Linked DNA regions of Neodiprion lecontei. The protein of the gene in region 2 binds, or shares a complex with, the protein of the main gene of each other region. Links are inferred from orthologs where the notes say so. Each region holds a gene or a part of one and is shown on either strand. Other genes may lie near its edges.

Region 1 (7,223 bases), about 15 Mb from region 2:
TCTCAAGCGAACGAAAATGAATCACAGAAACTGACGAAAAAGACAAAAGACGTGTTGAATTTTTCAAATATTGAACGTGTTTGTCATTCGTTGACATTCGCAATCAGGTCGGTTTTTATAGGACCATTTTTCTTCAGTATCCGACGCTGGAAGACCAAGATTTAACTAATTTTTGACACCCGAGGTGCTTGCACGTTGATCATGTCCTTTCAAATCACGCCAAATTATGCTTCTGGAAGCTTTCTGATTTTTCCTGAACGCAGATTCCGGTTCGCTCAGAGTTAATTATTACGCGTGTATATTCAAATATCATATTCTCCGAAATGTAGAATACTAATCAAATTTGATTATAGCTGAAACACGCGCGCTTCTGAAACACCATTTTTATGTCTTGACGCTACATTTTGGACATCGGTGTTTTTCCTCTCCTTTTTTTTAGCATAGTTCAGACCTGCTTCCTAATCTACTTTTACACCGCTCATCTTAAAGTTCAAATTTTCGTACGCTTATATTTCCGCATAAATTTGAACGGTTTCTATCTGGGTTTCTGTTTACTGTTTCATTATGAATAACGTTTAGCGCAAATCAGAGCAATTAGAGCTAAAAAGAGAGCTTTAAGATTATTTTGAACATGTTTCTGGTTGCATATTTACGCGTGTTTTGTTGTTGATGTTGTTGTTGTTGTTGTTATTGGTGTAGGACCGTTTCTCGAAGAGCAGGACGGAGAGCGAAAGATAGAGAGAGTAATGTTTGGGTGAAAGTATTTATTGCGGTACGGGATATGCCGGGGTTCGATCAAAAATTCAAGACATCGTGCAGAATGGCACAAAAACGGCGGTTATAATTGAAGCCATCAAATGGCACTGATCAGTTATAAAGCTGACAACTTCTTCGAATTCCATCTCGTAACTTGTTTATACCAGAAGTACAGTAGCGTATGCCGTAATAGCGGAAATGTAGTGAAATATAATATTCTTTTCATGAAGAACGCATACAAATGCAATTTTTCAAATATTTGATGCTGAATTGGGACAATATATAGATAATTGATGTTTATTCAGTCTCTTATGAATCATCGTGTAAAAATTGATATGTATTTTTTACCAGAACGGTAGATCTAAAGAAGGCTGCTACCACCGATCGTTGAATGAAGAACATTTTTACTGACGGGGACAACTAATTAGACTGATGTAGCCAAAGTGTGTGTATGTGAAAAAAGCGGACTCGATAAAATACATAAGTAACGTTTCATTATTAATTATGAAATGATTTATTGAGTCATCATTTAAATCGTTGGAAAACTTGCTATGGGGTCTAAAACCGTGATTGCTTTGGATTACTGAACCGTTCTAATGATCGCCGGAAGCGGCAAATTGAATGTAAATCGCGAAAATATTGATTTGAACGATATTACGAGAAACGCGGGCTGTACTAGCTGTCGTCGGTGTTCAAACACCGTGATAACATTGTAAAAAACAATAATTGTACGGCCCTGTCGAGTCGACACCGACGTGGATGCTAGGTAATACGGGATGAGAAGATTCTCCTGCCGAAGAGGAGGCTCGCGGAGGAGAGAGAGAAAGAGCGAGAGGAGAGGGGCAGGAGGATGAGAACGGAGAAAAGAGAGGCGCGGAGAGGCAGGTAGGGAGGCACGAGGTAAAGCAGGGAGCACCGTCTGTTCACGTGTAAGAAATAACTAATAAGATAAACAAGTATGTACGTATATACATACGTACCTACGCACTTATACACGTAAGTATGCACGAGAGCTGGAGAAAAGCCCGCGGGCAAATTCCCGACTACGAGTATTACATACGTATGGAATTCCATGTCGCGTATATGCATGCGTGTATTCGGCATATTTGAACGAACGTTTCGTACATATGCGAGAAATCGACGTAACTGCTCTGCAAGGTGCTGCACGTTCGCCTTGCCTTGGGGTGATCGTTATTAAATCTTGATTAACGATACTCGGAGTCACCGATTTTCCTCAGCGGCAGCGCGCCTGCTTGCGCGCAAAAACGGTGCCGCAAAGTCTGCGCCAACCAACAATTCCCAACTCGCATGTCTCTTGTAATAAATTTCTCGCTCTTCGAACGGCCGCACCAGACTGCTTGCCTCTGCCGCAGCCCGACAACGGCGACGATGCACGTATAGTACGTACGTACACGTAACACCATACCAATGGTCATAACTCGGACCGGTTATACTTGACCCATGCGTTTGCTGGACCAACTCCTACCGAAATCAAGTCTTGACTCTCGTTCACGGCGATCTAGGCCCTCCTTTACCGCATTCTTATCTCCGTGATTAATATTGGTTTTCTTATTGTAGCTGATGGGAAGCAAAGAATTCTTGTCCCATACCTCTTACTCGTATGTCTTCGTTGTCTTCCATTAGAGATATCCTATCATCGTTCGAACAAATTCCAGGAAATATAACATTCGGCGTAGATAAAAATCAGTGAAACATTTCAACATTTTCCATAATTTCCGCGCTTTTCTTTTATTCATCTAGTTACATTGCATAAACTTCTTTACATACTATAAAAGAAAATGGTAAATAAATGGGCTGGTCACAATGCCAGATGACAAAAATTTCGGAATAGTTTCACAAAAAATCCAAGATATTTTTTTACTAAAAACAAGAAGAAACTTAAATTATTCGATTAGAACACTGTTTATCGTTTTCACTTTTTGTAAGTAGAAAATGTGTTTGGGTCAAGAAATATTTTCATACAAACACAACTTGGTTTACCTATATGTATAGTTTAATGAAAATAGTTTTTTTTTGCAATCGCAAACATTGTACAAGTTATACAATGAATCAACTTTAACACACTCCAGCTTCTTAATTTATAGTTGGAGAAGAACAAAGAATATGGCGATAGTTAACGAAAGTTTATACCACTTACGCTAGTTTTATTCAAAATGAAATTGATTCGAATTATCGGATTGTAATTTGTCAAGTGCATATGATAACTGTAGTCTAGTTTGTTTATTACACAATACGAGATTGTCATCAATTCAAATTCTTCAGCTAGACACAACGTTCATTTCACATACTTTTCCATAAACTTTCGATGGAATTCACTTCTTAACGAGTCATTTATGAACACATCCCGCTTTTTCTCAGGTTCTGAGCGTGCACAATTCTTGAAAACCACATCATCGTCCCACCTCCTTCTCACTTTCATGTCTGTACGGCCAGGCTGAGCTGAATAATTGAGAAGTGGGTTACCGGAAAGGATGTTTTCCATGCGTATCCGCTCCTCCTCTTGTCTCTTTTCTATTTCCTGGTAAAAAAAAAAATGACAATTTATAAATCAACAAATCAGTGATCGCAGGGAGAGAGAATTTATCTCTATCCAGGTGCGTTACTTTTTTGGCTTGATCGGCGGCACGTTCTTTCTTTATGCGCTGAAGTTCAGCAAGTAATGCGACTGTGTCATCCTCATCGCTGTCAGAATCGGAATCGTCTTCGTCCAATGGATCGTCGGCATCCAAACTAGCTGCTGGTACTTGATCGATTTTCTGTCTTTTTGCTGCGACAGCTGAACCATCACGATTTGCAGGTTCAATCATGCGACGGTTCGACGCCTTCTCTTTTTCCCGCTCACGTTCATCCAACTCTTTGCGGAAATCACGGCTTCTCAACTCATCTGTTGTTCCCTGTCCGTACTCTCTGGGAAGACAATTTTTAGGTTATGTGAACTTTCTGGTTATGACGCGATATATTGAAAAAGCACACGAGGACAGAGATAAGACACGCGAAAATGGTATCTCTGCACTTGTACTGTTACCTGTATTTCAATTTCGTGTGAGACGGCAGATCTCTGCTCGAGTATTGTTTAGAAATTGCGCTCAAATCCTTCTCTCCGCGTCCCTGACCTCCGCGCGCTGGCTCGAACGTCGGCCTCGCAGCTGTAGTCATTTTGAAACCAGAGTATAACGAGCCTGCGAATCCCTCGGGACGATGATAAAAACTACCTTAAAACACTACTCAGATTCTAGTTTACACTTGGCTATTTTTTCGCATACGCTATTGACGTATGTACTTGCTGTGACGGGAGCAGTAAATTTTGGTTTGGATTTTGTGCCATGAACTATGGAAAACGACTAATGTAACACAGAGGCGGCAGTCAACAACCACCGTCTCCGCTACCTGCACTCGTGTGAAGTTGGCGCTGGTCAATTTGTCAGATATTACCATGGAGCATATACTACTGGAGATAGCTTCGCGTGTACAGAAAGTGTGGCGAAGGAGTGAGATAGAGCAGTTATGCCGTGTACAGCCTGTCTCTCTCGCTCTGCAACCTGGTAGGCCGATACGTGTCCTCTTGACCGAAATTCGAATTTTAAATTTATTTCTAGGTGACTGGTTGGACGGATCCCGAAAAATTTTTTATATCCGAACTCAGTAAATGGCGCATGTTCAGAAAATATGAACATTTATTTTGAGTCACGGACGCAAAATCGCTTGCTTTTATAAAAATTTCGTCCTCGCTATCGGACAGTTCGTCGTATTTCCTTCAGAAATCATGCAAAAAATTTCTCAGAACATCACGGGGCTGGATTTTGGAGGGGGGTGGCCACCTTATCGTGGTCACCGAAAATACTTAGTAGTAGTCTTTTTCTTACTCCCTTTACAGTAAGTTTAATTGTGAATTTATCATACCTATGTTGACCGTGTCTTCAACTACTTGGTTTTACAAGTATCTCTGGTGTGTATGTGCATGTATATACGCAAACATATCTATAAGATATGTGATCAATGAACCAATGAATCGATAAAGAATATATCCCATGGTGAAATCATTGATAATGCATTTATTTAATTTTTATCGATAGACGGAAAAGGAAAGTGTTTTTGTTCATCCGGTGGACACAGATCGTATCTCGATTGTTTCTTCGTAAAATAAATGAATAAACAATCTTGTTCAGTAACGTTCACTGACAACTTACAGTGGTAACGTTCCGATACACGGATATACACCTCACCTATGCATTCACACGTTTATCTCGTCCGTACGGGAATGTGAATATAAACCATATGACACCGTTGTGACTGCTTGTAAACAAATGTCGTGACAAGGCAAGCAAAGGTGAAAAAATCAAACAATTTGGATGTCACGTATCAAGTTGAGCGTACGCTATTGGCTAAAAGTTCTCGATTCAAACATTAAAATCCCGTGCCCGTTCAACACGAAACCGCAGCCAGTTGAGTACGAGTGATCAAGAGAAGCGGTGTTGGGTGTACTACGTGCCTTATAACTGTGATTTTAGGTGATTTCTAAGTGTTATAACTTTACCGGACTGTGGCTCGAATTACCCGGAACAATAGAGATGTCTAAACATGACAAAAACAACTTTACTCCCAATGTGATCTACGATGAAAATATGTACGGGAAGGAGCTACATAAAGGGTCGTTTCTTTGGGAAGGTGAGTCTCGATGAATATTAATCAACGTTTCTCTCTGCTCTCATATCTCTTGCATCCTTTGCAAGACGAAAAATAATTTAATCATCGATCGCCGACTTCGAAGGCGAAGTAAAAAATGGGTAGATCCTAAAGCCATTTTAAGTTATTGGGGATCAGTGGATTGAAGACGAATTGATCAACCCAGGTTTCGAACAACCACTCTTGGCTGTTATTTGACATAATATTGACAGAAATTCTCATTAATTCTTTCGAACATTATTGCGGGATAACCGATTTATCGTCATTTTTTTTCTAAACTGATCATTCTTTCGTATTACACGTCAATCTCAATCTTGTGTTCATGCTTTCTTTATTCCATACAGCTAATTACACTATGTTTTGTACGTACCGTCAATAGTCCTGATTCGGCGTTCAGCAATGTCAAATTTTCGAACGCAGTTGAGAGGTCATATATCACCATAAAGTTTGTTGTTGATTTTCTGATGTGCCCAGAATATGCGCTCTAAGAAATTGATGTTATTGCCGGCGGATTAAGCCCCGCAAAAGGTGACTTATCATACAGCTCTCAGTCCAGCGCCGCGCTTTTACACGGATGTGTGTGCGTGTGTGTGTGTGTGTGTGTGTGAAGACGGCATTCACATAAATTTTGTTTTTTTTTCGGAAAATCAAAAAATGTGGTATCTATAATAAACTTGAGAATGGTTCTCTTTGCGCATGTGTCATGGCTTCGCTGTCACGAGCGTAACAGAAATTGGTGTGAAAATGAAAATGCTAAATGTTTGTATACGCGTAATTATTTTTTTTTCGATTTTGAAACAAATCAAGTCTTCAAATGTTAAGACTCATTTCGATGAACCAATATTGCGACAAATATTCTTCTACTAATCTAATATTACCGAAAAATATTACTCGCTAATAAAATAACGGCCTTATAGGGGGGATAAACAGGGTAGAAATGCATTTTACGAATATCTGAGTGATATTTTATGGATAACTAGGTACGTATACGAAAATGCATGTATTACCTAATATTTCACAAAAATATTAGATTTTTCGTTTAAATAACTAATTAATTGAGTAAAATAAAACATTGCTTGTAATATACTGCTTTATAAAAACGAGCCTTCTGAAATTGATTTTATAAAATCGTTGTTCAATTTACATCACTTTGAAAAACTTTCACGAAATCAATAAGAACCTTGAATATTCGAAATTTGTTACCGGATTACGGAATTGCAATAATTTTTACTGTAAATTAGCGATGCTTAGTAATCTCACAAAGGCTAATTAAACAGTATCAAAGATTGAGGCGCACTCGAGGCGAGTTAGTACACAACGCATGTAATTAAACCGTGGTTTTCAGGAAAAACAAGCATCGGAGAAACTTTGGATCTTGATGTCCAGCGGTATCAGAATTCAAAATTCCCGTGTATGCACGGTTATTTTTTTCAAAACTCCCGTATAGTATAATGATTTCTACGGCGTTAGTGTGTTATGATGATATGATCAACATTCGACGGTGTGTAGAACTGATGAATCCAGGTAGAGTCAAAAATATAGAAAAATCAGAAAATAAAATATTCACAATATCGAATTTTTCAAATACGCGAAAATGTATTTCATAGAATTTCAAAATGTAGGAAGCCGAAGTACAGAAAAGTCAAAACGAAAAGTAAAGTATAGAAAATCAGAATACAGAACCATCAGAATACGGATGTATTCTTATTCGTTGTGATAACTTTACAGTACAGCTCTCTATACTCTAACCTTCCTACATTTTG
Region 2 (7,555 bases):
AGAAATAAAAGCCACAAGAAATATGAAGCCATCACAGTTAAGCACTTTTTTTATACTCTCTGCGTATGAGTATTATTTTCAACCTGGTAAGTGAAGCAGGAAAGAACCATCCGATTGTTCAATACGTTAATCATTGTCTTTTGAAAAGCTGAACAATGAATATAAAATGCATCGGGATGTCTCGATAAATGGAACAAACGCAAGTTAGAGCAAAGTGAAAGAAAAAAATTTTTTTTTTGGGTAGACGGAAGGGGAGTTAAAAAAATACATGAATAATTACGAGGCTCAGCCAACAATAAGCCGGGTAATAATCGGGGTGAACGACTTTTGGAAAGAGAGGTTTCCCTCAAAGGTTGTTTAAACGTGATGTGAATCGCTTTCTTTTCTTCTCTGTGCAATTCTAATACAAAATCAACAATTTCAAATGCGATTTACACAATCATTAGTGCTGAGTTAATCGAACCGAATAAATCAATAATATTTTTCGTGAAGGGTAATAAGTAGTCTCAATGCCCGGCTGACAACCGGTAAGAAATTATTTCACATCATATTCCGTGAATTGCGGTTCGTTCCGTATTTGAATAACATGGAACGATCAGAATAATCCTGACTCAGACTTGAGTAGCGAATTTTGATACGATATTCTTGCGCAGATCAAAGAGCAGTGATAAAATGAAGTGAAATATATTCGACAACGCTTACCTCTTTGTTTTTGCCGGAATTATTTATGTGCACCATTTTACCACGTCGTACGTTTTTTTTTTTCTTATTCTTCACCGCTCGACTGCCGTCGATCCCGTTTAGGGTTTTCAACCAGATAAATCGCTATTCTCACAATCTCTGTCGCTCTCTCTCTCTCTCTCTCTCTGGACAATTTTCACCTATTCATTTGACATTTTCTTACATATCTAAGCGTATGAAATCTATCGCGTCTTCTACTGACAACATTTCGTTCGATAAATAGCTAACAGCTCGCTAGTTTCGCTAGCACTCTGATGTTTCATGAGCTGCGAAATCCACTCTACTGTCCCACAAATCCAAAGTGGAAGGGGAAGTCGTTCAGCTCGAAAGAGGGTTTCAGCGCTCTCTGTGCAACTTTGTTAGAACTTGGAACTTTGATTTGCCGATTTTACCAACCACCCTAGGACGGAAAATTTTACCGTTCTGCAAGTCGGTTTGAATCGCAAGTTATGAAAAGAGTAAACAACAGTTACGAAATCCCTGGCAATGTTATTTGCGCCAATGATAGTGAATACCAACGAAACAATATATTTACTGGGCCATTGGAACGGATCTCACTGTTAGAAAATGTCAAAAGACGTTGATTAAGCTTAACTTTATCAAACTGGAACCGCCAAAAAAATAGGCCGATTATTTGTTGCATTTGTATAATCCATATAAATTTCAAATGAAAACATATAATAGCAATGTAACAAATGATCTGCGATAGTCATACTTGACAAATACCTAGACTTTTCAGGATATTTTTCGCAACAGAATACGTGAGCTTTTTTCTAAAATCAATTTGTTTTATGTAACGTTCACATGAGTCGGTGATTTTCAAGAAACTTAAATCCCCAGGTACAACCTGGCACTTAATTCGAATAAGTACAATTTTGAGAGCATCTACTTGCATCTTATTCCTGTATATAATAAGATTTTTTAAATCGGCAGCGCTGCCAGATTTCTGCAAGACACTACGATTCACAAGTTGAAACAGAAAGATACATAGGTACATGTACACAACCTTGCACTCAATTTTAGCCTCTAATTATCGTTTGATTCCAGTGTATCAGTTTTTCGAAATCTATCGTCCTTCGCGGATTTTTTGTTTTGGAGGTTCCCGCTTGAATTAAAAATATCATGAGCATTCAATTTCTTAATGAAGTGTCTAATTAGTACGTAATTAGGAACTTTAGATTCATACAACTTATAATAAACATTCGAAAATTCTTACACTATAATAGTTATAATGCACAAATGTAATTGTTGAATATCTGCTGCACTTTTCTGACAAAAATCTATTTATATGCACTCTAGATGTAAATTGTTTTTGAAACTACTTTAGACGAATTTTTTCTATCTCTGTAGGGAATGAAATATCAATTCACAATAATCAAACCTTTCTTGATATCATAGCTTGTGTTATTCAGACCTCTCAGATGCATTTTTATAACGTAGTAGATATTCTCTTTTGTGTTGACAATCGTTGTCGCAAATAACATAGTTAAAGATTCTTTCAACAATCTTTCCTCTTATCTTAGTATTTCATTCAGGTCTTAAGATAATTAATGTAGAAGAAAATTCATAATAATGCTCGCATTTGCCCATGTACCTCTGGTTGAGACTTACAATTAGACGGGATGTTACAATGGAATATGAATGAAAACCACAATACAGCAAGACAGTTGTATTCTCCACCAGGTCTGTTTTCTTGTTCAAAGTCCTAAGGGAGTAAACACAATGACATTAAATTTTTGAATACTTATTAATTTACATTGTTATTATCATTAGTGATCACTGCCTACACATATTGTCACAGGCATGTACGGTTTCAATTTACGTTTACATGGAATTATTTTTTACATCCCTTATAAAAGTATGAACTAAATAAACTTTAGTGCACTAGATATAATGATAAACAAAAATGATCCTTATAACATTTATCCTCTTCCTCTTCCAGGTTGTGAACCTCCTGGTTGGTTTTGCTGATTCAACCAAGGGGCCGAACCCGTGCCTCTGCCTCTCTGGTTTTGACCTCGTCCCCTGCCCCGTGCTAAAAATAGATATATTCGGTGATAATTTGCGTTGGAAAAAGAATATTGATGCATAAAAGTGCAAAACTTGTTAGAAAAATGAGTCTCTGAAACATTGCCAGTCAAACAGAAATATGAATTCGAATCGGATTGCATTCCACATTGCTGAAATAAAATGTTCAGTAGGCCAAAACATGTTTACGGACTTCGATTTTGATGAAAAACTGAAAGATTCTAGATCTATTTGTATTGGTGTGAAAAAACAAACCCTGTGCCCGTAGTATTGCAGACTTTCCTCTGCCCGCAGTGCCGGCGCCTTTGCCACCGGGTCTTTTGAACATCGGGGCATTTTTCAACATATCCGGTAATATAAGGAACCTTATTTTTGAGCCCCTAATGTAAACGTTCTCTAGCTGGCCTACGCGTCCATCGCGATAAGTGACGGTCAGGTTTTGCATTTGACAGTTCATGTTGTCTTCGGCTTCTATTAACTTTCCGCGGTAAACCTCGCCGGTGTTAGTTTCACAGGTTATAGTGTGACCTTCGGCTTCGTGAAGTACTTTAATTGGCACCCCGATCGACATTTTGACACTTATGTTCCGATAATCGACACTAAAATCTCACTAGCTCACGAAAAAACTGGCGATTGAAACGGATTTATACCCGTGTGAAGTCTGTGTCGTTGCATCAACGTTTGTCGACGGACGCCAGCCACTTTCGTTTCGTTTACGAAAATGGCCGGAGAGTTACTTAGTTCGAATTTTGGCCACTTGGCTTATCGTCGGCATCATGGGTCGGCATCACGGCTTACTTTAGAGCATATAATATACTATACATGCTCCAATACCCGTATTCAGCCCCCTGACACTCACCACTGCTCGTATACTAAAAAATTGTACGCGTTTTGTCCCCGTTTTTTAATTTCTCTACGTGGATACACTTCAGATGCGTATTTTACTAATTTACGGAGTGTGTTTATAAAACGGAGGCTTATAGGTTATGATTGCCGCCCTTTTTTTTTACATTTTATAGCGGAAATTTCACTTTTTTCCGTAAGAGGCGCTCAAATCGCATTTAGACAATTCCACTTACGGTACCTTAAAACTGGGGACAAGTTTTATCGCAGAGTGTTGTCTCCTTCCTACTACTCCGTGAAGGAATCCTTGTTCCTCAAGGAAGGAATATGAATACGGGTGTAAGAGTAATCCCACTCAAGTGGCATCGGAACCGTTGTATATGGAGGATTACAAAGAAATGAAATGTTTCGTTGATCAAACGGACCTCGTTTCTTTCGCTGGTAGATAGCGCTGCAGTCGCACAAGGTCAACACTTTCGGACTTTAGAGCATATAGGATTAGGCATGAATATATATGAGTAGGTTTTATGTGTACGTAGCTGCATTTTTTCGAAAACCCTATGATAGCTTGATCTCTGGCAAAGAATTCGTTCTTGTCCATCTCTGTCTAACCCTCCGTGTCACCAAAGTTCCCAAAAGTTGTTAGTCCAATCAATTGCAATCAACTTTGCCACCATCTTGTGCCAAGTCTTGAGCAAGTTCATCAGCATCCGATTGGCCAAGCTCAGCCATTTTGTGGCGAAAACAGCACCAAGAGCGGTTTGGACACACATCTATTTTGGCCGTGTTCGAAAATTGACTGACAGTACTGTCAGCAATCTTTTATCTCTTTTGCGCTACCAAGTTCGTGGATAGCTCTGACTCTGTCCTAGGGAATTTTCAGTACTGTCAGTCAATTTACGAACACAGCCTTTTTACATACATCCCCGTTGACATCAGTCGATGTCAGCGATTTCAGCGGCTATAAACTAGCTTTAAAATCAGGGCTTCTTCTACCGCGTAGATATTTAGGTATTTAAATACCAATTTCAGACTTGTATACCCTGTATACAAAGACCTCGCTTAAGGCTCAGTCTCACAGAGCACGGTGCGGCAACACAGATCCAGCAACCAATAAGATTGCAGGTTTTTGGAAGCGCGAATTCCGCTGCGCCAAGAACGAATGCATGCCGCGTCGCGGCTTGTGAGACTGAGCCCTTAGGCGTTAGTGATTTAAATTAATTCTTGGAGCACGTCGCACGTTAACTGAAGATGATGTATTGCGTACACTTATGCTCTAATCGTGAAATGCATGTTAGCCGAAAATAATTTCGGAGAAATTTCGGGAAATGAAGCTATGGCTGAATTTTTTAAATCCGATTTTTATATCCGCAATATAAAATAAAGTTTTTATTGAAAATTATATTACGTGGGATGAATATGCGTAGGTATATTTATACGTTTCACAAATTGTTTTACCTTTGCCGTTGGTTCATCACATGCGTGCGTACCATTTGTTTGCCTGATTTGTAATTATCTACATACCTATAACATTTTTCCAACAAAATCCTATCTAATTTACAACAAGGGACATTTACACTTTAAAATCCACTAGAATTCTCGGCTAGATATTTTTTTTATCTGTAATAAATTAAACAATACAATTGAAGTGTGTTTTGCCCGATTTGTGATTACCTACATACAATATTTTTCCAACGAAATCCTATCTAATTTTTAACAGGGAACATTTAGCAATTTAAAATTGACCACAACTATCAGCCGGATATTTTTTTCTTTCCTTATTTAATTAAACATATTGTGTTTGCAGGATTTGTAATTACCTACACACAATATTTTTCCAATGAAATCCTATCTAATTCGTAACAGGGAACATTTAGTAGTTTAAAATTGATTACAACTATCAGCCGGATATTTTTTTTTCTTAATAAATTAAACATATTGAACTCAACATTGCAGGAAAATTCTAAAAATTGTTGATTGATGTTAATAGAAGTGTGAAAAACAATTAATAATTAACATGTAGCTCACTCTTCAGAAAAAGACAAGAGCCATAAAATGAACCTATCTTACAGCGATTGGATTGAATTGTAAGAGAAGATAATTTACAATTTATTGGCCAGGTCCGGATAATGACTTGTCCATAAACTTCTTCTTGGCGAAACACAGCCACCATTTGCTGGGCTTTCCATCTTCTCCATAAACCTTTTCTACGACTCTAATGCCAGTTTCCTGGCGCAACTGTTGTAAATATTGCCTCATTAAATCTGAAAAAAACCATTACAACATTTAGAATATAATTCATATTTGTGTTACACTTGAAGTAATGGTAGCAATTTGTGAAAAAATTAGGAAAATGTGTTTGATTTTGTTATTCAATGGTCTTACCAGCATCAGACGCAGTATTTGGCTTAGCATAAACAGAGTTTAATGGGAAACCGGCTTCTCCTGGAATATCAAATTTGGAAATAGCCAAGGTGTACATCTCATTGGTTGCCTGATTTTTGTTTGCACATTTCTGTAATTTCTTCAAGCATTCAGTGATGTACAAAGTGATGTAAATTAAGACTCGGTCAGCTTCGCTCTGTAGAATATTTAAGGGCGAAGAAGTGGTAGTAATATAAGTGTACAGTACATACATTACTTAATGTAACTATACAAATTAAAAAATTACCTTAATTTCGTAGGTTCGAAAGAAAACATTTGCTTTAAAGAAATACAAAGCTTCGTCTATTATATCTAATTCTTTGTTACTGAATGACGGTGCTGGTCCTCGAAACTGGGTTTTGAACGGTAGCAATGCCATGTTGCCAACCGTTTGGTTATTTTCTAAAAAACTTGAATGATATGCCTGAAATTTTATGCAAAATTGGTATGATAATGTGAAAGTGAGAAAGTCTATCAATAGTAGAAAAGCAAAACACGTCAGAATTTATTGACACGGTAATAGCATGTTGACAGTTAAATTAGGTTAGGTAAAATTATAGTCCGTGATTTACTTCAAGAGTAAATCTGAAGTGATCTTTGACTATCAACATCTCGTTAGTAGGTCGATTGGATCAAGGTCAACGACACTGTTAAATTGTGACCCCGTGTTATGATTCATGATATCAAAGGGATACACCCATTTGACAGCTCCTGAATGCGGAAAACCAAATCGACAATTTCAAGACAGAAATAAGTCTTGTATTACTAATTTGAGTAAATTGAAAAGGATAGACTCACAGGCATGTTTGACAGATACTTTTTCGTAGATTGATTATCTTCTTAAACATGAAATTAAACGCCGCAAGGGTGGAGAAATTATTACAGGCAAACTATAATCTGGTGGGGTCTGGCCAGATATCGCTATATCATGTATGTCAGTAGTGGAGTTATACTGTCGCAATACGTATAAAACCGTAAAAGTCACACATGCGCAGAATGCCTCTACCAATCTTGCTGAAAGTCACGTGACTATCACACATGTGCATTAGGGTGTTCGTTGAAAGAAATATGCTTAGCTGCCCGCAGCACTCCGCTGGTGGCCGCGAGTCGAATCTTTGGAAAAAGCTGAAACTCCAATTCAAATTTGATTGCAATGACCAGAAAATAATTGACGTTCTACAATTATCAACGCATCTCGTAAAAAACGAATACGGCATTGTAGTTTACGTGATTTCAATGCTAAGTTTACAAATAATATTGTTTTCCACATGTGTTGGAGCACGTCAATTATTTATTTTACATTTGAATCAAATTCGAATCAGAGTTCGTTGACTGAAGATATACCTATATCACGTATACATATATATATATATATATATCTGAAGTGACAAGAATCTGTACAAAATGGATACCGTTCAATTGGCGTGACGGCACCACGCGTGTATATATATATCAGTGGTGCGAACTGGCGGCAGCGTCGAAAAACAAAAAATGCACCGTAAGCGTATTTCCCCCACCA
Region 3 (10,658 bases), on a different chromosome or scaffold from region 2:
GAAAAAGTCAGCATCTCAGGCTTGGTCGTTGGTTTAGAGAACGTTATTCGCATTTACTGCCAGAATGTTATACTCCTTATGATGTATATGTACAAAGTACAGACATTGACAGGACGCTGATGTCCGCAGAGGCTAATTTGGCTGGTCTTTATCCACCTGAAGGAGATCAAGTTTGGGACAAACTTAAGTGGATGCCTATACCGGTCCATACTATACCTGAACTTGAGGACAGCTTGCTGGCAAGCAAAAAATACTGCCCAAAGTATGAAATGGAGTTGCAAAATGTTATGAACTCCCCCGAGATCAGGAAAATTGATGATGATAACCAAGAACTGTACAATTATTTGAGCAAAAAAGCTGGTACTATGGTTCAATCTGTCAGTGACGTTAGTGGCATATATAATACGCTATTTATTGAGGTAATTAATCATTGCATATCTTGAATACCAATTCTCCAGTTTGACAGGAATATTTACTTATGTCTTTTTTTTCTTTTGGTAGATTTATTAATCAAGTTTTATAATACAGTTAGAGCTTCGTTTAATTAAACAGTTCTTGCTAATTTTCACGAGCATAAGTTGTTCATGAAATGCAATATCTGGGCCAAAAATTTTTTTCACATATTAGAAAAAGTTTGCTGTCAGATAAAAAAAAAATCAAAAATGAATCAAAATAATGAGGATTTTATTCATTTCATTACACATATCAATAATCAATGATGCTATTTTATCAAGATATTTTATCTTTTATGATGTAAAGATTTACAGTGAAAAGAAGTTATAATAAGAATATTATTCTACGTAACATAAATGGAAATTGTTTTCATGTTTACTGTTAGAGAAGAGTGTCGATCACTCTGTACAAAGTCTAATCAGTATTCTTCATTGCAAAAACGTGTACACTGAAGTAAAAAAAACTAATGTGTTTGTCGGTCATAGTACAATTACCATCCTGTGAGTCCACTATCTGTGCCTTGTGGCATAATCGTAGCTTGGCCTTGAATGATGATACACAAATGAACAGAGTATACAGAAAAGAATTAAATAACCTCTAGAGACAATTCTTGTGCAATTCGATATCTTACCAGTAAATTGATAACCATGTTAATGTCATAATACGCAATTGCAAATGACTGATAAATTATGTATCACAATTATTTAACATCTAATATTTTACTTTTCTCATGTTGCACAAAAGGCTGCAAATTTGTTTTGCTTTTAAATACTAGATTTTCTGCTAGCATTTAAGTTGGTGCCCTAGTCGATTTCGATGTTGATGTACGTATCTCCAAATATCCAAGTCCATGTATCTCAAACATGAAAAACTGCTTAACAGCCCCATTCTATGTACAATTCTGAATAAAAACACTCTAACATATTTTCAATCCGTGTAGAAATAAAGAAGTGGCATGGATTCTATGAAATCGTTATAGTAAATTCGTATAATTCATGCCATTTCGTTATTTCTGCATGAAATGAAAATGTGTTTGAGTGTTTCTGTTCAGAATTGTATATATGATGGGGCTGTCAAGCCCTTTTTCACATTTGAGGTACGTGAACTTCCATATTTGGAGATATATACGTCAACATCGAAATCGACCATGGCACACCCTTAACCCTTGGAACATCTTTTTCTTGAACAAATATTTATTCGTAATGAATGAACAAATTACTAAATATTAATCAGCCGTAGCAGAAACATTCGTATGCAGGCAGATTAAAATCCAAAAAATTTTCAATTCAAATTTTAAACCCTTAATGAAGAAACAATATTCCTATTATAATTCCATTATTTCTAAAATGTGGATGTAGTGACTGTTATCATAATTCAGCTAAATAACCGATATGTTATTCTTCTCCAGGTTCTGTATAACCGCACCTTGCCCGAGTGGACAAAATCTGTATATCCAGATAAATTAAAACCTTTAGCGGATTTTAGTTTTACTGTAGAAGCTCACAATAAACTACTCCAAAGATTGAAGTCAGGCAAGTAGAAATATTCATGCGAAAAGTATGTTAATCGTGTAAAATAAATTCCTGAGAATTGAAGTTTCATTAAAAAAATCACTGATTCCTAACAGGACGATTATTAGGTGAAATGGTAGATCACCTAGTAAGCAAATCAAAAAATGCACTATTCCCGAATAGAAAAATATGGATATACAGCGCCCATGATACAACAGTGGCAAACTTTTTGATGACATTAGATTTATTTGAGCCACACTGTCCCCCGTATACAGCGACTGTCCTTGTGGAATTGAGAGTGAACTCACTGAAACAGCATATTGTAACGGTAGGGATACATTCTACTGGTGTCATTATAATGAATAATTCCTCAGGTCCTGTATACTGTGCTTTGCATGCAAGTTGAACTTTTTCTAGAATGATTACAACCTCAGATTCTTCACCCTATATTCTAGATTTCGTACAAAAATACGTCCGCTGAACCGAGGCTGTTAACTTTGCCAGGCTGTGAGGTCGCGTGTCCATTAGGGAAATTTGTAGAATTAACTAACGACATGATACCAAAAGATTGGGCAAAAGAATGTCTTCTAGGCTGGGAACAATACGCACACAACATTACCATGCCATCTATATTTGGTAAGATAAATCTTGTTTAGTTAGAATCCCTCAGTTTATGTGAGATTAAAAACGTTCATAAGGTTTAAAGAAATTTTGGAAGCAACTTCTTACGGTACTTCTCTGTATGGAGAGTGCATCCATGAAAGCGTCACATGCTGAGCGTAATGCCAGACTTCCCATTATTGCAGTGATAGTATACCTATTTATACTCTGACTTGCGTGTTAATAGTATATCACTGCACAGTGTTACTATAGCTTTCTTATAGTGGACTCAACATACGACTTGCCTATATTACTGTTGCGGCAACATAAGACACAACTATATTTTTTTCTAGTGTTTTGAATAATTAACTAAAAGTTGTTTAAAGTTCAACAGACCATGATTGCGAAAAAGTTAATAAACGAGTCTACATAGTTATCTGTAAAGAATTAACAAGTACATGTAAATGCAATTGATTTGACCTAATCTTTGTAAATAATTTCGAGAAATATTCAATGTATATACATTAGTAACATAGATATTGAATTTCGTATGAACAATTTCTTTATGATTTTAATTCACCAATAGTATTCATATATCAATTTAACTTTAACTTACATTCCACTTGAAATATTTCATTACAAAAATGTTTGAGAAGTTCCTTTCCCGTGACGGCTGTACCCCCTTTAGTTTTTATTGACAATTCATACTGCATCTTCTCATTTCTAATTTCTTACTCTATTGGTTTCTATTTCAGGTATTTCAATATTGTTGCTGGTCATCATCATATTACTAGGTTTGTTAATCATCGGCGTTGTCTACTATCACCGCAACTGTGATAGTAACCGTTATTACTTTAAGTTGACGACAGATCCTATTTAATTTAATAATAAAATCCGACTTATGATTATTGCGGATACTAACACGGGCATTGGAATAATTTAGTATTATAAAAAGAAAATTTTCCAGTGTGAAGTTCGTCCCTTATTTTTATTGATCGTTGAACACACGCTCAACTTTATTCACAGGATCAGCACAAAAGTCACCTGATATGACGCGGTCATTTTGTACTCGAAATTTTTCATGATAGTGCAATTTGAGTAAGTTAGGTGTTATGGGTTAATTCAACTTTCAACTTTGCTGTAAAAAACAAATTCTATTTACATTATAATAAATATAAAACAGAGACGACAAAATTAAGATTTAGTGACACAAAGTGGTATTGTATAAATGATTTTAAAAAAATTAGTCGTGTATTTCAGAAAGACAGAATCCTCATTTTCTACCTTTCTCAAAGACACGCGCAAGCAACGCTGCGTAACTACGGCGAGCGTTCATTGCAGCACTTCCAATACGGTTACGCAGTGCGGTTACACCGCGTGCTATGGCAAAGGGCAGCCCCCTGGCACCACTGCTCGTATACTAAAAAATTGTACGCGTTTTGTCCCCGTTTTTTTAGTTCCTCTAAGTGGCGCTAGTAGACTTCTGACACGCTCGCTGACCGCGCGCAAGCCTGTCAGACAACTACTAGCGCCACTAGTGGTGGAGGTTGGCGGCAGAATCGAGGGACATTTTGCGAACCACTTTTGCAGCGTGTGTCAGGGGGCTGGCAAAGGGATATGAGTGCCCAGTATGGAGGGTAAAGCTAATATGCGTGAGCTCCGGCAAACGCATGCGGAAGGCGACTCGTACGATGCGTACTAAGTAGGCCGCTCCCTCACTAGCGCTAGCGGCGAAAATTCACAACATCGGCTTCATTTTCGAGCACGGTTTTACAGCCGGAGTACCCAGACCTGTCTATAAGACCGTGGTATGAACCTAGGTATGAATAAGTATAGATGAAAACAAACTGTAAGGTTATGCGCACACAACGTTGGATAAGAAAATGATAAGTCAGAAAGAGTATTTGAAGAAATACCTGTCATCCGACAAGGACAAAAAGAAGATTAAAAAAAAGAAACCCAAAATCGGGTCCAAAACGTAAGTGTTATCTTGTACGACTGTTTGATCGAGCAATAATACGATTTTTATTAGGTTAGATCGCAATGACCCTGGAATACAATTCCCACGATTTTAAAATCTGCAGCGCAATAATATCCATTAATTTTGCTTTATTTCCTCCAGTGTTAAAATTATTGACGATGACATTGATCTTAAAAATATGAGAGCAATAGAAGATGGGGAATTCGACATTTACAACAACACGGAAGACGGACCACAAATCGCTGGTATTGTCGACGAACGCGGTCCAGTTGACTTTTCCGACAAGAAAAGGTGGAAAATTATAACAGACGATATTGATGGAGACATAACTGTAACCAGCATTGACAGAAACGAGAGAATATCTGAGGCGATGAGCCAGTCAAGCAGAATACCTGCTCCTAATTCCAGAAATCGTTCTCCATCTGATGATGGTAAAGGCAGTCCACCTCATAGGCAAAGGAATGATTCCGACCAGAAAGAATCTAGTCGTAAGACACTATCGTCAAAGAAACTGCGTCAACATTCTATTTCTAGTTTGATTGAAAAGCCACCTGCTTCAGAGGACAGTGACTTCAGTCCACCTCGGAGAGTAAAAAAAAACAATGACTTGGAAAAGTTCACTCGACGTAGGAAATCTTTTAAAAAGAAACAAAGCCGAGCAGTTTCCAGCCCTGCAAGAAATTCCTCAGATTCTGAAAACAACGACACTAGTCCACCTAGCAGGACCAGAAAGGATTCTGATTCAGACGAAACTAGGTGCAAGAAATCTTCGAAGAAGAAACGGCGGGTTGAAAATCCTTGCAACTCCGAGGACAGCAAATGCAGCCAACCTCGAATATTCCGGAAGAACTCTGATTTGGATGAATCGATTTGCAGAAAATCATTCAAGAAACGACACAGTGCTTTCTCTTTGAATTTTGAGGATAATGACTTAAGACTGCCTCGGAGGATTAGAAAAGACTCGGACTCTGATCTTAGCCCACCCAGAAATTCAAAGGCTGAAAGAATTGATTGTACTAAACATTCGAAACAACGTGAAAATTCATTGACAAGTTCTCGGCACGACAAGCATTACAATAGAACTTCTAAAGCATCTCCTTCTGTACATTTTGAATCTTTACGTTCTAGAGGAAAAGATGAGTACAAATCAGGGAAACATAGTAATAGGAGTAATTCATCCGAACATGAGAGAAGTAATCGACAATCGAGAAAAGATGGAACAAAATTGAACAGCAGGAGAAGAAAGGAAGGTGATAAAGTTCGGTCAATATCACCTCAGGATAGACGACGAGATGGCAAAAAGGGAGGAACAAATAAGCATTCCAGAAAGGATGAAGATGACTCTGCACCTGATTTGAGTCCACCTAGGGAGACTCGGATGAATCATGAAGATTTGGATTCAGAATCCAAACCATTACAAAAAACTTCTAAAAATTATCAAGAGGTGCCTATTTCTTTGAAATGATTTATCTATTGCATTGCAAATTGCTTTTCTTATTTGATAATTTAATAAATCTATATTAGAATGATTCGAGATCTTTATCATGTGACAAAGGTATCAATTTTTGCTCTCAGATGAGTGAAGAGACAACTGGTTTTGGGCAGGCTCCAATTTTCCGCGATCGTAAAACTGGTAGAAGACGAGACTTCGCGGCAGAAAGACGCGACAAAGAACAGAAGGATGAAAAGCGGAAAGAATTGGAGGATAAATATGCTCAGTGGGGAAGAGGGTATGTTTTTCTATGGATATGTTAACCTCTTTATAGCAGGGCTGGTCGAGTTATCGATAGATCGATATATCGACCAGCAGTCAGGTTAGGGACTCCACGTAAGAAATTGATAGAACTTATTTCTAAATTTCACGTCCAATAAAAGGTTGATTTCAACTTACATTTCTCCGCTGTTAAAAGGTTAATATTACGATCACATCATAATTACCGGGCTACGGGCTACGGGCTACAGGCTACTTATTATTGTTGATCAAGCAAAGATTTGCGTTCAAAAGTTTGTACATTATCTAAGTAAAAATTAAATATTTTCCTTGGAAATGAAGGTCAGTAACAACACCAAAAAATTGTTTCGGTCCAGGTGGGGCCTCCCTCAAAACGATTATATATTTACAGAACCATCTATCACGAGAAAGAAGAATAGGTAACACAGGTGAATTACTTAAAATTAATATCTAACGAGACTTATGAGATTAACAAGGCAACTTCTGCCGATATAATTGAAAAGAAATTACCTAGTAATAACGTGGAATATTTCAATTTTGAAGAACAACACGAAGAAGTCAATATTTAAAAACAAAGTACAATAAAAAAACCAGTGTTAGATTAAAAAACTGCGACACGAAACTCCCAAGCATTCATCATGGTTAATAAAATTAAATTAAACACACAAACGAAATTTTTGAACAAAGATCTATTTTAAAACATGTAGATCCTCCAGCGTGCAGTGGAAATAGAACTAAATCAGTCAGTAGTAAGAAGCATAGACAATGAGACAACGAGTTCAATAAATATAAAAATATGATAAGAAGATGAGATCAAGAGCAAGCTCAGTCGGTAATTAGTGGTTATGGTTGATGTATTACAGAAGTGTAAATAGCGCTGAGATGTTCAATATCTTGTCTTAGATTGACCGCGTTAGGATGTGCAACAATGTTGCACGTTGTTGTTAACCTTTTGTAATAAAAGGGCTCAACATCTAAAATACTAGGTTTAGTACAATTGAAAGCATGATTAAATTCAATCGAGTGTCCAGTCAGACCTGTATAATTATCATCATGCTCATGGATGTTTCATTTATGTTCACTAATTCTTGTATGTAACTGCCTACTTGTTTGTCCTACGTATGACAAATTACATTGGTTGTAAGGAATTTTATAAACGACGCAAGAACGCTTATCCAAGGGTAGCAGATCTTTGCCAGAGTCAAACACAGACGATAAATCGTGTGATAAATTTTTTCTGACAAATTGAATATTATATTTTGAGAAAATTATACTTAAAGACTCGAATAGACCAGAAACATATGAGATAGATGCAAAGTTTTTTTGATTAACAGGTGCAACGGCTACTTCATTATTGTTGTTGGAATCACGAACAGATACAATAGACTTATATTTGTTATGTATATGTTTGTTAAGAAGGGCAGGTGGATAATTATTCTTGCGTAGTACATGATGAATCAAGGAAAGGTTCTTGTTATGAAATTCGATACTAGATAATCTAATCGCTCTATCAACCAAGCAATTGATTGTTCCAATCTTGTATGATCTGCGATGGTGAGAATGAAAATTTAGGTACCTCTGTGACCGGGTGCCTTTGTGGAACCAATCAGTTTTGAAAAGCTGATTGTCATTAATGATAAATACATCCAAAATACTGATTCGACGATTGCATTAATTGAATTTTTTGGTGTTGTTACTGACCTTCATTTCCAAGGAAAATATTTACTGCAACATTACCGAATTTAAGAGACCATTATTCATTATCTAAGTAACTTTCGAACTTTCATTTGATACGTACATTCTTATTCACAGTTTGAAGCAAGTTGAAGACCACAAAGAAAAGCTGGACAGAGATTTGTACGAGATGAGTAAACCCCTGGCAAGGTACGCGGATGATGCGGATTTGGAGCGAGAACTCAAAGCACAGGAAAGAGAAGGGGATCCAATGCTAGCGTACATAAAACGGAAGCAGATAAAAGAAGGAAAACAGGAGCCAGGTATTGAAATAAAAACTTCATAACTGTGCCAAATGCAATTGTATTTTAGATCGCAGTTCAAACACAAGTTTTTAATATGAAATTTCAGAAAAACCCAAATACCAAGGACCCTTTATGCCCAACCGTTTTGGCATTCAACCAGGATATCGTTGGGATGGTGTAGATCGGAGTAACGGTTATGAGAAGAAGTGGTTCGATGCACAAAACGCGAGGAAGGCAGTACAGGAAGAAGCGTATAAATGGAGTACCGCCGACATGTAGTGAATAAATGTACATATATACAATTTTTCCTGGTACGTCAATCAGGTTTGCTGCTTTCAAATTTCATAGGTATGCAACTTGTACTTTGGAACTTGCATCAGGAAATATTAGATTCTGTTCCTTGCGGTGATCATCAATCAGGAATAAATTATGTCGGTTAATATAACTACCATTCATCTTAGGGGCAGATGAAGCTTAAAATTATTGAAAATCAATAAATAAAAAAATACGTCATGTTTTTAATACGTATTCATTCGTTTTACGATTTACGAGTGAATACAAATACAAAGAAATACCGGTCAATTCCTGTGGTTTACCGGTTAGTAAAGAAAGAAATCTGTAGTTCAGTGTGTCGTACTACTATAATCGGTCCTTACCGATCGAGGAAAACGTCACTTATTATCTTCTTGCATCCTGATTTTTACTATTAAGCGCAATTCCAAATGAAATACCGATTGCAGAACAAATTAATTCAAAAACTTTTTGGTTTACTGTGATACTAAAGCTTGGCATTATTATTTCGTAAAATAAAACTTTTTTTGATATTTATATTTCGCAATGCATGTGGAGCTGCGCTGATTGTGATATTTTCATATGGCTGATGCGTAGGCTTTGACGTTCACTGAAGAATATAAAGACGGATACCCCTGGGTGAATTTTTGTGACCAGTTTTCGGCGGGAAAGTAGGCCCAGATGGGCTTGGGAACGTTTCTGTTTTATCAATTCTACCTAACGGGCTCGCACCTACATTCGTAGCAGCCCAAGTAGTGTCAGTATGGAAGCTTGGGATTGAGTCTGTACCACGGTCTTACTTACATACAGGTCTGGCAACGAAGCCAATTTTCTACAGAGCGGCGTGGTTCTCTTGCTGTCCGTGGTTCTTAGTGTTTGAAATAGCCATGTCGCGGCGCTGCTATCTAGAGATGCACTATTATTAGGTCGGCGCTGCATTGCGCACGCATTGATTATCCATCCTTTGATGACAACGCCGACCTGGCGGCCACAAAGTGAGATATAATAGCCGGCCGTGAAATGAACAACCCCCACTACCTTCGTTGTCAGATCTGTATGTAAGACCGTGGTCTGTACAAAGTGAGTACGTAAGACTACTTGTCCTACCACCTCCGAGCACCTCCAAACACCGCCAACTACCTCCGATCACCTTCGTCCTCCTCGTCCACCTCGTCCCCCTTAACCTCCTCATCGTCCTTGTCCTCCTCGACTACCTCCGATCATCTCCAACTACCTCCAAACACCTCCTACCAATTCCAAACACCTCCAACCACCTCCGAACACCTCCGAACACCTCCTACCACCTCCGACCCGTAATTATATTTTATTCGACACGCGCTCGATGTATTCCATAACATGAATATTCTTAATTATTCCCACAACTTTTCATTTGCTCTCACGATCTTGAATTTTTGTAGGCATAGAATCGAAACGCTGTTTTGGTTTAAGTCACAAGTGAAGTATCTACGTTGGGTAGAGAAGCAGAATTGTTTTTCGAAGTGTTCGTATCGAAAAAAATTCAGAGTAACTGTAATACATGACGGATGCGCTAATTTTGATCGAGATGAAATGGATGCTCCGTATACGATCGTATAAATCACATTTCGAAATGAATAAATTTTTTATTTTCATATCATAGCCGTATTATTGTATATAATCTAGTTTGTCTCCTGGAAAAGTATAAAATTTACAGTATGCATCACGTATTAATCGTAAATGGATCATATATATTAATATCGTACATGGATCGCATATACATATATACTTTTTGGTCTCTGCATCATTATCACATCTGATTTATTATTATTGATGATCTATGTATATAGTCTTTTTTCGGGTACCTATACTTTAATGAAATCACTGTTTTGCAACGAATTTTGGAAGAAATTTATTCTCATTATTAATTCCTTGTATCGCCGACAAGACGGTTAGTACACACAGGCTAAGTACTGGCTTGGATTCACCCGGTTTACCATTGCGAAGATCGTGTTACTCGAAAGGTGAATACAGCCAGCATCACGTCGAAATCGGTAACTCTCAGATGTTCTGCAATAAGTTCTCAACTCTACCGTTGGAACATCTCAGGGGACGCAAGCGCATAACGATTTTCG
Region 4 (6,943 bases), on a different chromosome or scaffold from region 2:
CGTAATCTTCATCCAACATGTGTACCAAACTTCTGGTTCTTTCAGTGCTGGAGTAGGTAGAACCGGGACCCTAATGGCTATAGACATACTGTTACAGCAAATAAGGGATAGCAAGAAGCTTGACGTATTCGGAACAGTTTTTAATTTGCGAAAAGATAGGATAAATATGGTTCAAACAGAGGTGAGATATTGAGATTTAGTTACAGACCAGTAGTTTAGAAGTCTTCAATAATTGTTGAAATAGGTTGTAAAGCATGATAGTGGATTGCAAGAAAATTGGATAACAAATCATCAAAATAATCATGCCGTAATTTTTTTCCCAGAGTCAATATGCTTATATCTACAATTGCACCAGACAAACTTTAAATAATCCGTACCCAGCACGGCTCGGTGAGTAAAAGAGAAAATGAATTATGAACGTCCGTATGTATTCAAATACCAGTAGTTTGAATTAGTATGTATGTTACAATTTTCATGCTTTTGCCTGTCTTTCAGCTAAGCCGCCACCTATTGAACCGATATATGAGAACCTCACAAAGAAAAAAAAACCAATTACAGACTCAAATACGAATCTTGTCAACAGCATCGAAACTTGTATGTAGATGTCGCCTCACGCAAACATCCATAAACCTTGCTAAGCATAATAATTTATATCTTATATTTAATATGTATGATGAGAATATTATCAGATATACTTCTTTCGACTGAAAGTAATCAACAATTTAAAGCTGCTGAGGTATACCGATGATCTATCCGAACACGTTTTCATATTTGCCTTTCACTATAATTTGTTTTTATTACGCTTATAGCAGTTTTGAGGAATTTGTCATCTTGATTCAGTTTTAGCTAGCACGAGTTGAATCAGCTTGGACATACCAATGTTTATATGGTCTTAATGTTGTAATGGTTTTGTATTTGCTAAATGAATAAGACAACCTTAAAAGCCCTGTAGAGCAGTATTGCCATGTAGTGTATGCAAACCTCACATCTTGCCAGTTTTGGAGTTTCAAATCGTTCTAGCTTCATTCAAAATTCGGAAGACTATCATTAAACGCTTACACGTTCCATTAATTTTCGTTTTCCTTTTATTATAGCTGACTATAGTAGAGTAGTTTAATTCTAATTTACTAACAGGTAATTAGTCTGAATGATAAATTTTTCGTTTTTACAGTAAAAAAGATCAGTCCTTCATCATCCATGGATTCTATGGAGCAGATTTACGAGTTCGCAGCTCATCGACCAATTTATAGTACTCAGCTAAGCACTCTGAGCACTGGTAATACAATATTTCTTATTATAGCATTTTATATAAAAATATATTTGGAGTATTTTCTGACATACGTTGCCAATCAACTTCCAGGGTTGAGGTATTCCAAATCAACTAGCGCAATCAATACTCAAGCATCACCTAGCATGGAGATAGGTATGCATCAATAATTCAATAATATTCCTAAGCTAAGGAAAAAATTTGTATCAGGACAATTTTCATAAAACAATGTTGACAAATTTTTTTCATAGTCAGATATGGAAGCCATGAGTATCCCATCTTTGAGCCAGCACCAGATACCATATCAAGCAGAGGCAGTATGGACAGGAACGTATTGCTAGAGTTTGCAAGACCTTTAGGTCTGAGAATGGACTAGTCTTTTTGAGATCTGTGTATTACGATAAACGTATGGGTTTACTTACAAGTTGGATTTAAGTATTAAATCAGTATTGTATCTTTCGGTACCCATTGTTAAAGCTGAATGTTGTACAAATTCAGTACATTGCATTTCACATTTCAAATTACATTCGAGAGTATTTATTATTTGAATTCATGAAGAAATTCTTACTGCCATCTTGTTTCTAACTATACTTATACTCATAATTGAAACAACTAACTGGACATTGGAACATAAGTTGCTATGTCGCGTTTTATTGCTTCGATGGTTATTTTTATTATTTATTGGTAATCTTGGTTAGTTTTTGTTATGTCCTTACAACTGAGGATGTGCCATCATTCAAGTGTGATAATACACGAATAATGTACCAAAGATGAAAATTTTAACAATTTTATACTCCGTTATTGGACGTACTGAATAAGATGATGGAAATAACAGTGGCCTTTGTAGATAAGATGTGGAAAATGTATTGCATCAATATATTGTACATAGTTTAACGTTAAGATAATCTATATTTGGAACTGATGTTTAATATTTTTATTAAATAATTACAAAAGATTTGAATAGAGCTAAACTATTTTTACCAGGTATCGGCTAAGTTTCGTTAAATTGGTATAAAAACGGCATAAAAGCGGTATAAAGACAGATCCAGAAATAAATTTAAATGAAAAATTTCAGTTTATTTACATGTGACGGTACAAATTCATCATCATTCTGTAACTGTTAAATAATACCTAAGCTGTATACAACTAATGATGATTAATTTATGTTTTAATGTAAAACAACATCATATATTCGAAACATATATTCAAATCTTTTTGCTGCATAATGTAATTAATAGCGATACTTTGTTGAATAATCTTTTGGCGAAACAACCAAACCTCTGCCTTTTCTAGCGCCCCGATAAACCGTTTCGATGATATCGATCATTTCCTGTTTGTCTTCTAAAGTCCAATTGATTTTATTATTGTTTCCAGTGCCTAAATCAATCATTATATGCTTGTTTCTGAAGAAGAACATGACCGTGCATGGATCGTACAACTCATACCTACAGTTCAGAAAAATTCTGTGGTTATTATTCTGAAGCTTTGCGAAGTACTGAAGAAAATATTATAGCAGCAGAGTGTTATACTTACATTTTATTAAAGTCTGGGACCTCTGTTATATCGACTAGATAAATGACTGCAAAGTTTTTTACTTTTTCTGCAATATTGTAGAGGACTTCATCCATTTTCATACACATTGGATCCCAATCGTGGCCAAATCTGATCACCTGAAAGAAATCGAAGTAGGACGGTTCGTATTAAATGTAAAAAAAAAAGTGAGCAACTAAACTTAGTTATGTGTAATTAACATACGATTTTGTACGACTGAATTTTTAGGTTATGATGACGTGAACTTACGACCACTCGGTCCTCTTCTGATAAAATTGCCTGATCCACTTGCCATCCATTGTGAAGGTGACCCAGCATATACGACATTTTTATAAGGTGTTTGATTTATTCTTGTAATTAATTAAATCCCAATTTGCGTACAACTGGGAAAAATAAATATTTACACGTACAGAAACGTCAAATTACAGTGGCACACATATAGCACATCAAGGCACTAGCGACCCTAGCGGCGTTAACTTGCAACGATAACTGCGTTTGCGTTCTCAAATGTGCCGGTGTAGCATTCGATAGCCACCAACCTTCCACTGCCTTCAAGAAGGTGAGTTGCTGACGTTTTTTTTTCGCACATTTTGTTGTGATTGAAGTAAAATAAGTACTGCGCATCGCACCGTGAACAAGGTAATAAACGACGCTTAATCACGTAATTGTAAAATATTAATGTATTTTTGAGATTCAATAGTCTACATTCACGCTGTAATTTTTATACGGGCTTACGAATCTTGTTACGACCGCATTTTTTACGAGTCACGACTGTTTGTTATCAACGCCGGTTAGACCGGTTGACCTGGTGATATTATGACGATATTTGATTATTCTGAATATTCATTTCTCTGTGCTAAATTGATGATCATTTGTAATTTTGACACCTAGTTCATTCGGACAATGATTTTTATAGGTACCAAATATTCGTGCATACGTATGTGTCAAGGTTTTTCAATTGGAATTTTCTAGATTCGCTGTACACACTATTCGGTAAACATGTCAATTATGAATGATCTGTTAAACGACAATATAAATCGTTGAAAAATCTCATCAACATTGTTAGCTTACAGATTCTAACTCACAAATTTTCTTATCCAGAAAGATATCGAAATGGCTGCTCCTGTCAGTAAAGAGCATCTAGCTCAATTGAAAGTGTTCACCGATTTGTGCATTGAAAACCCTTCGATCCTGCACCTCCCGGACCTCGCGTTTGTCAAAACTTTCATCGAACATTTCGGAGGTAGTGTCCCAGATACCAAAAGCAGCAACACCTCGGGGTATCCGAAATTTAAACCTCAACCCGCCCAGTCGAATATTCCTGAGCCTGAGCCAGCTCCGGAATCTGATGAAAGTGATATCGAACTTGATACGACTGGTGTCATCGGTGAGATTTGGTCATTTCTTTTTCTAATTTATTGAGCTTGTGAAGCCGTTTTGTTATTTTCAAACGAATAAATCTAATTTTTAGAACCGGATACAGACGCCCCACAGAAAATGGGTAATCCTACTCTTCAGCCAACTGAGGAAGAAGTGGCCGAGTCTCAGGCAAAGCGTTCCGAAGCAGTGTCCGCTTTTGTCGAAAATAACTATGAAAAGGCGCTGTCTTTGTACACAGAGGCTATTGTACTGAACCCTCAAGCTTCTTTGCTGTATGCAAAGCGCGGGCAACTGTACTTGATGCTCAACAAACCCAATGCTTGTATCCGCGATTGTGATCGTGCTCTTGAAATAAATCCAGATAGTGCTGCCGCGCACAAGTTCAGGGGACGTGCTTACAGATTACTTGGAAAATGGGAGGAGGCTGCCAACGACCTTCGTCTAGCTTGCAAAATCGATTTTGATGAACAAGCTGATGAATGGCTGCGAGAAGTTACTCCTAATGTAAGTAATAACTACTTTAACATTTCACTTTTACAACTTTTCAGGCTCACTGTGATTTGACATTAGGAATAGCATCACTCAACTTTTTAAGCTTTGTGTCCAAAGTTTGTAACAATGATTAAAGTACCGGTGAATATTTATCCCTCAAAGCGTAACAAAAAATAGGACAAATGAGAAATATATCCTTTCGGCCAATGTTTACTGGTGATATTTTTATGTCGCGTATCTGAAAAAGAAGCGAATTGTATTTCAATGTATACACAATGTGCCAATCTATTGAATCTGATTTTCTGCTACTTTTTACCCGCGTGCGAGTGAATGATATATCGCATAAGCTTGAGTATGCAGGTGATTTGTGGAAAACAGATAGATATAATCCAGTCATACTTACCTGTCTTGGCAGCGGTAAACTGTCAGGGTAATAAAATGGCAGTTGGAGATCTTGGAAATGCTGGTAACGCGATTAAGTTCTCGAACTTATGAATTTTGAGTATAGCTCATAATTAGAAAATTAAATGCTTCGATTGAGGGCGATGTAACTGCATAAAATGAAATACGCTTATGGCAGTTTAAAAGGAAAGTAGAGGGTTGCATATGTACACAAGTAGCGCTCACAGCACACATTCTTATTTAAAAATACAATTCCCTAAATTATAATCCAACTACTAATCTGGTAAAGTAGTCTTACTTATGTGTAGCTTAGTTAATAATACATTGCTTGTAACATTAGGTATCCTGCAACGTAATTACATAGGCATTTTATTGCATAATTAATTAATAGTAATAATAAAATTATAACAACTTGGTAACTTAATTGGCATACTAAACAAAATATCAACAATCTGTGCTCAGGAGATTCAACTCCATTAAAGCATTTTAGACAAAGACACAAATTTACTCGAAATTTTTTTTTCTATTGTACATGAGGTATGGTATAGTTCAGGACTGCTACACTAATGAAATATTTTATATTATTTTAGCGCCTTTCATCAAAGTTCCGTTAATGATACAGATCTTTGTTACCGATGGCAGTAAATGATTAAAATACTTCATTTTGAGCAAAAGTATGTCTACCGCAAGGCTCATTTTTGTTTAGACCCTCACGGTAATGCGAAATAGATAACATAAAACACAGGTGAAAACGGATTCGGTAATTTTTTTTAGCTTCTTATATACGAACACAATCTGCATTTACGACTTATGTTTATATATATTTATATATATGTATATATAATTTTTTAAGCGACGGAAACCTTGAATACAAGGTTTTTTTTTTCTTACAATGGAAGTATTTTTCATCTTTATAATTAATTATAAACGTAGTTTTCTGCCGCTAGGCAGTGGATCAAGATGTAAGGATATTTTTCACTATAACGTTACACGTTACAATCTTCAAAAAATTTTTTCTTTTTTTTTTCAATAACAGTCTGTGTCAGCTGGTGCACATAACGCGTACGTATATCTCTTTGTGCGCAAAACAATGCGGCGGACACGCAGGCGTCAAGGTATGATAGGCACTGTATAACTCAATGTCGATCCCACGCTCTTTGGTTACCAATTGAAATTTTTTTTTTTTTTTAATATATTGTCAACAAACATTCAATCGACTACATTGACCGTAAATGCATTTTAATTTTATCGACAGAATGGGCACCCTTTTACGAAGATTTGTTTTGAGTTTCAATGCGCTTTGGACGTGATTACTTGGCATCACATTCTATGATTATTTCAATTTCTTGCACTTTCGTTAACAACGAATAAGTGAAATAATTTTTTTTTATGCCAGCTGCCCGCAGCAAAGCATAGATAGAACCTGCGATGTACTTCGTTATTAAATTTTTATTTTTATTCTTTGTTCAATTCCTTGGTTATCTCTTGATGCCCCGTACCGAGCTTTGTGCACCTAGTCATGGATGCCATTCCTCTTAGTCTCCCACCTTGCCCATTCATTTCATGGGAAATCAAAGCACCCGTAATCTGATATCATGGGTATATCTCGATCTGAGAAGTACTTACAGGCAAGCTTTGCTGGATATCAGCAAAAATTGTTTAAACTCCAAGGCTGTTCTTCTCTTTAGTTTGGCACCTCATACCTCACTCCGGATTGTGTATGTCCGTTTCATCTCCGTGGTGTTTATCCTCGCCTATGAACAGTCTTGGATCACATCTTGGTAAATGTTGTTTCTTTTGTCCGTGTATTTCAATCTCTCGAAGTAACTTTGATATATGTAACAATAGATC

Evidence for each region.
Region 1: small nuclear ribonucleoprotein Sm D3 (region 2) and protein CWC15 homolog share a complex: the UniProt entries of both Homo sapiens proteins name them as parts of the minor spliceosome. The link is inferred for Neodiprion lecontei from reciprocal best matches to the Homo sapiens genes SNRPD3 and CWC15.
Region 3: small nuclear ribonucleoprotein Sm D3 (region 2) and BUD13 homolog share a complex: the UniProt entries of both Homo sapiens proteins name them as parts of the minor spliceosome. The link is inferred for Neodiprion lecontei from reciprocal best matches to the Homo sapiens genes SNRPD3 and BUD13.
Region 4: small nuclear ribonucleoprotein Sm D3 (region 2) and thioredoxin-like protein 4A share a complex: the UniProt entries of both Homo sapiens proteins name them as parts of the U4/U6-U5 tri-snRNP complex. The link is inferred for Neodiprion lecontei from reciprocal best matches to the Homo sapiens genes SNRPD3 and TXNL4A.

Annotation. Positions count from the first base shown.
Region 1 is NC_060261.1:30,137,748-30,144,970, reverse strand, and holds protein CWC15 homolog, read right to left. Parts: upstream 4,157-7,223; 5' UTR 3,934-4,156; coding exon 3,803-3,933; intron 3,685-3,802; coding exon 3,381-3,684; intron 3,296-3,380; coding exon 3,053-3,295; 3' UTR 2,983-3,052; downstream 1-2,982. UniProt on the Homo sapiens protein: Involved in pre-mRNA splicing as component of the spliceosome. Component of the PRP19-CDC5L complex that forms an integral part of the spliceosome and is required for activating pre-mRNA splicing.
Region 2 is NC_060261.1:15,627,521-15,635,075, forward strand, and holds small nuclear ribonucleoprotein Sm D3, read right to left. Parts: upstream 3,722-7,555; 5' UTR 3,341-3,721; coding exon 3,025-3,340; intron 2,777-3,024; coding exon 2,664-2,776; 3' UTR 2,662-2,663; exon of another isoform or gene 2,447-2,661; 3' UTR 2,396-2,446; downstream 1-2,395. Other genes in the region: TLC domain-containing protein 3A, read right to left, coding at 703-738; actin-related protein 2/3 complex subunit 3, read right to left, coding at 5,722-5,876, 5,998-6,193, 6,284-6,460, 6,835-6,840. UniProt on the Homo sapiens protein: Plays a role in pre-mRNA splicing as a core component of the spliceosomal U1, U2, U4 and U5 small nuclear ribonucleoproteins (snRNPs), the building blocks of the spliceosome.
Region 3 is NC_060263.1:19,781,855-19,792,512, reverse strand, and holds BUD13 homolog, read left to right. Parts: upstream 1-4,135; 5' UTR 4,136-4,447; coding exon 4,448-4,542; intron 4,543-4,686; coding exon 4,687-5,989; intron 5,990-6,120; coding exon 6,121-6,275; intron 6,276-8,089; coding exon 8,090-8,274; intron 8,275-8,362; coding exon 8,363-8,535; 3' UTR 8,536-8,773; downstream 8,774-10,658. Other genes in the region: prostatic acid phosphatase, read left to right, coding at 1-419, 1,862-1,985, 2,081-2,292, 2,420-2,600, 3,320-3,444. UniProt on the Homo sapiens protein: Involved in pre-mRNA splicing as component of the activated spliceosome. As a component of the minor spliceosome, involved in the splicing of U12-type introns in pre-mRNAs.
Region 4 is NC_060265.1:6,863,221-6,870,163, forward strand, and holds thioredoxin-like protein 4A, read right to left. Parts: upstream 3,146-6,943; coding exon 3,023-3,145; intron 2,938-3,022; coding exon 2,801-2,937; intron 2,713-2,800; coding exon 2,499-2,712; 3' UTR 2,320-2,498; downstream 1-2,319. Other genes in the region: receptor-type tyrosine-protein phosphatase H, read left to right, coding at 46-181, 324-390, 496-594, 1,172-1,276, 1,361-1,423, 1,519-1,643; hsc70-interacting protein, read left to right, coding at 3,932-4,205, 4,290-4,702. UniProt on the Homo sapiens protein: Plays a role in pre-mRNA splicing as component of the U5 snRNP and U4/U6-U5 tri-snRNP complexes that are involved in spliceosome assembly, and as component of the precatalytic spliceosome (spliceosome B complex).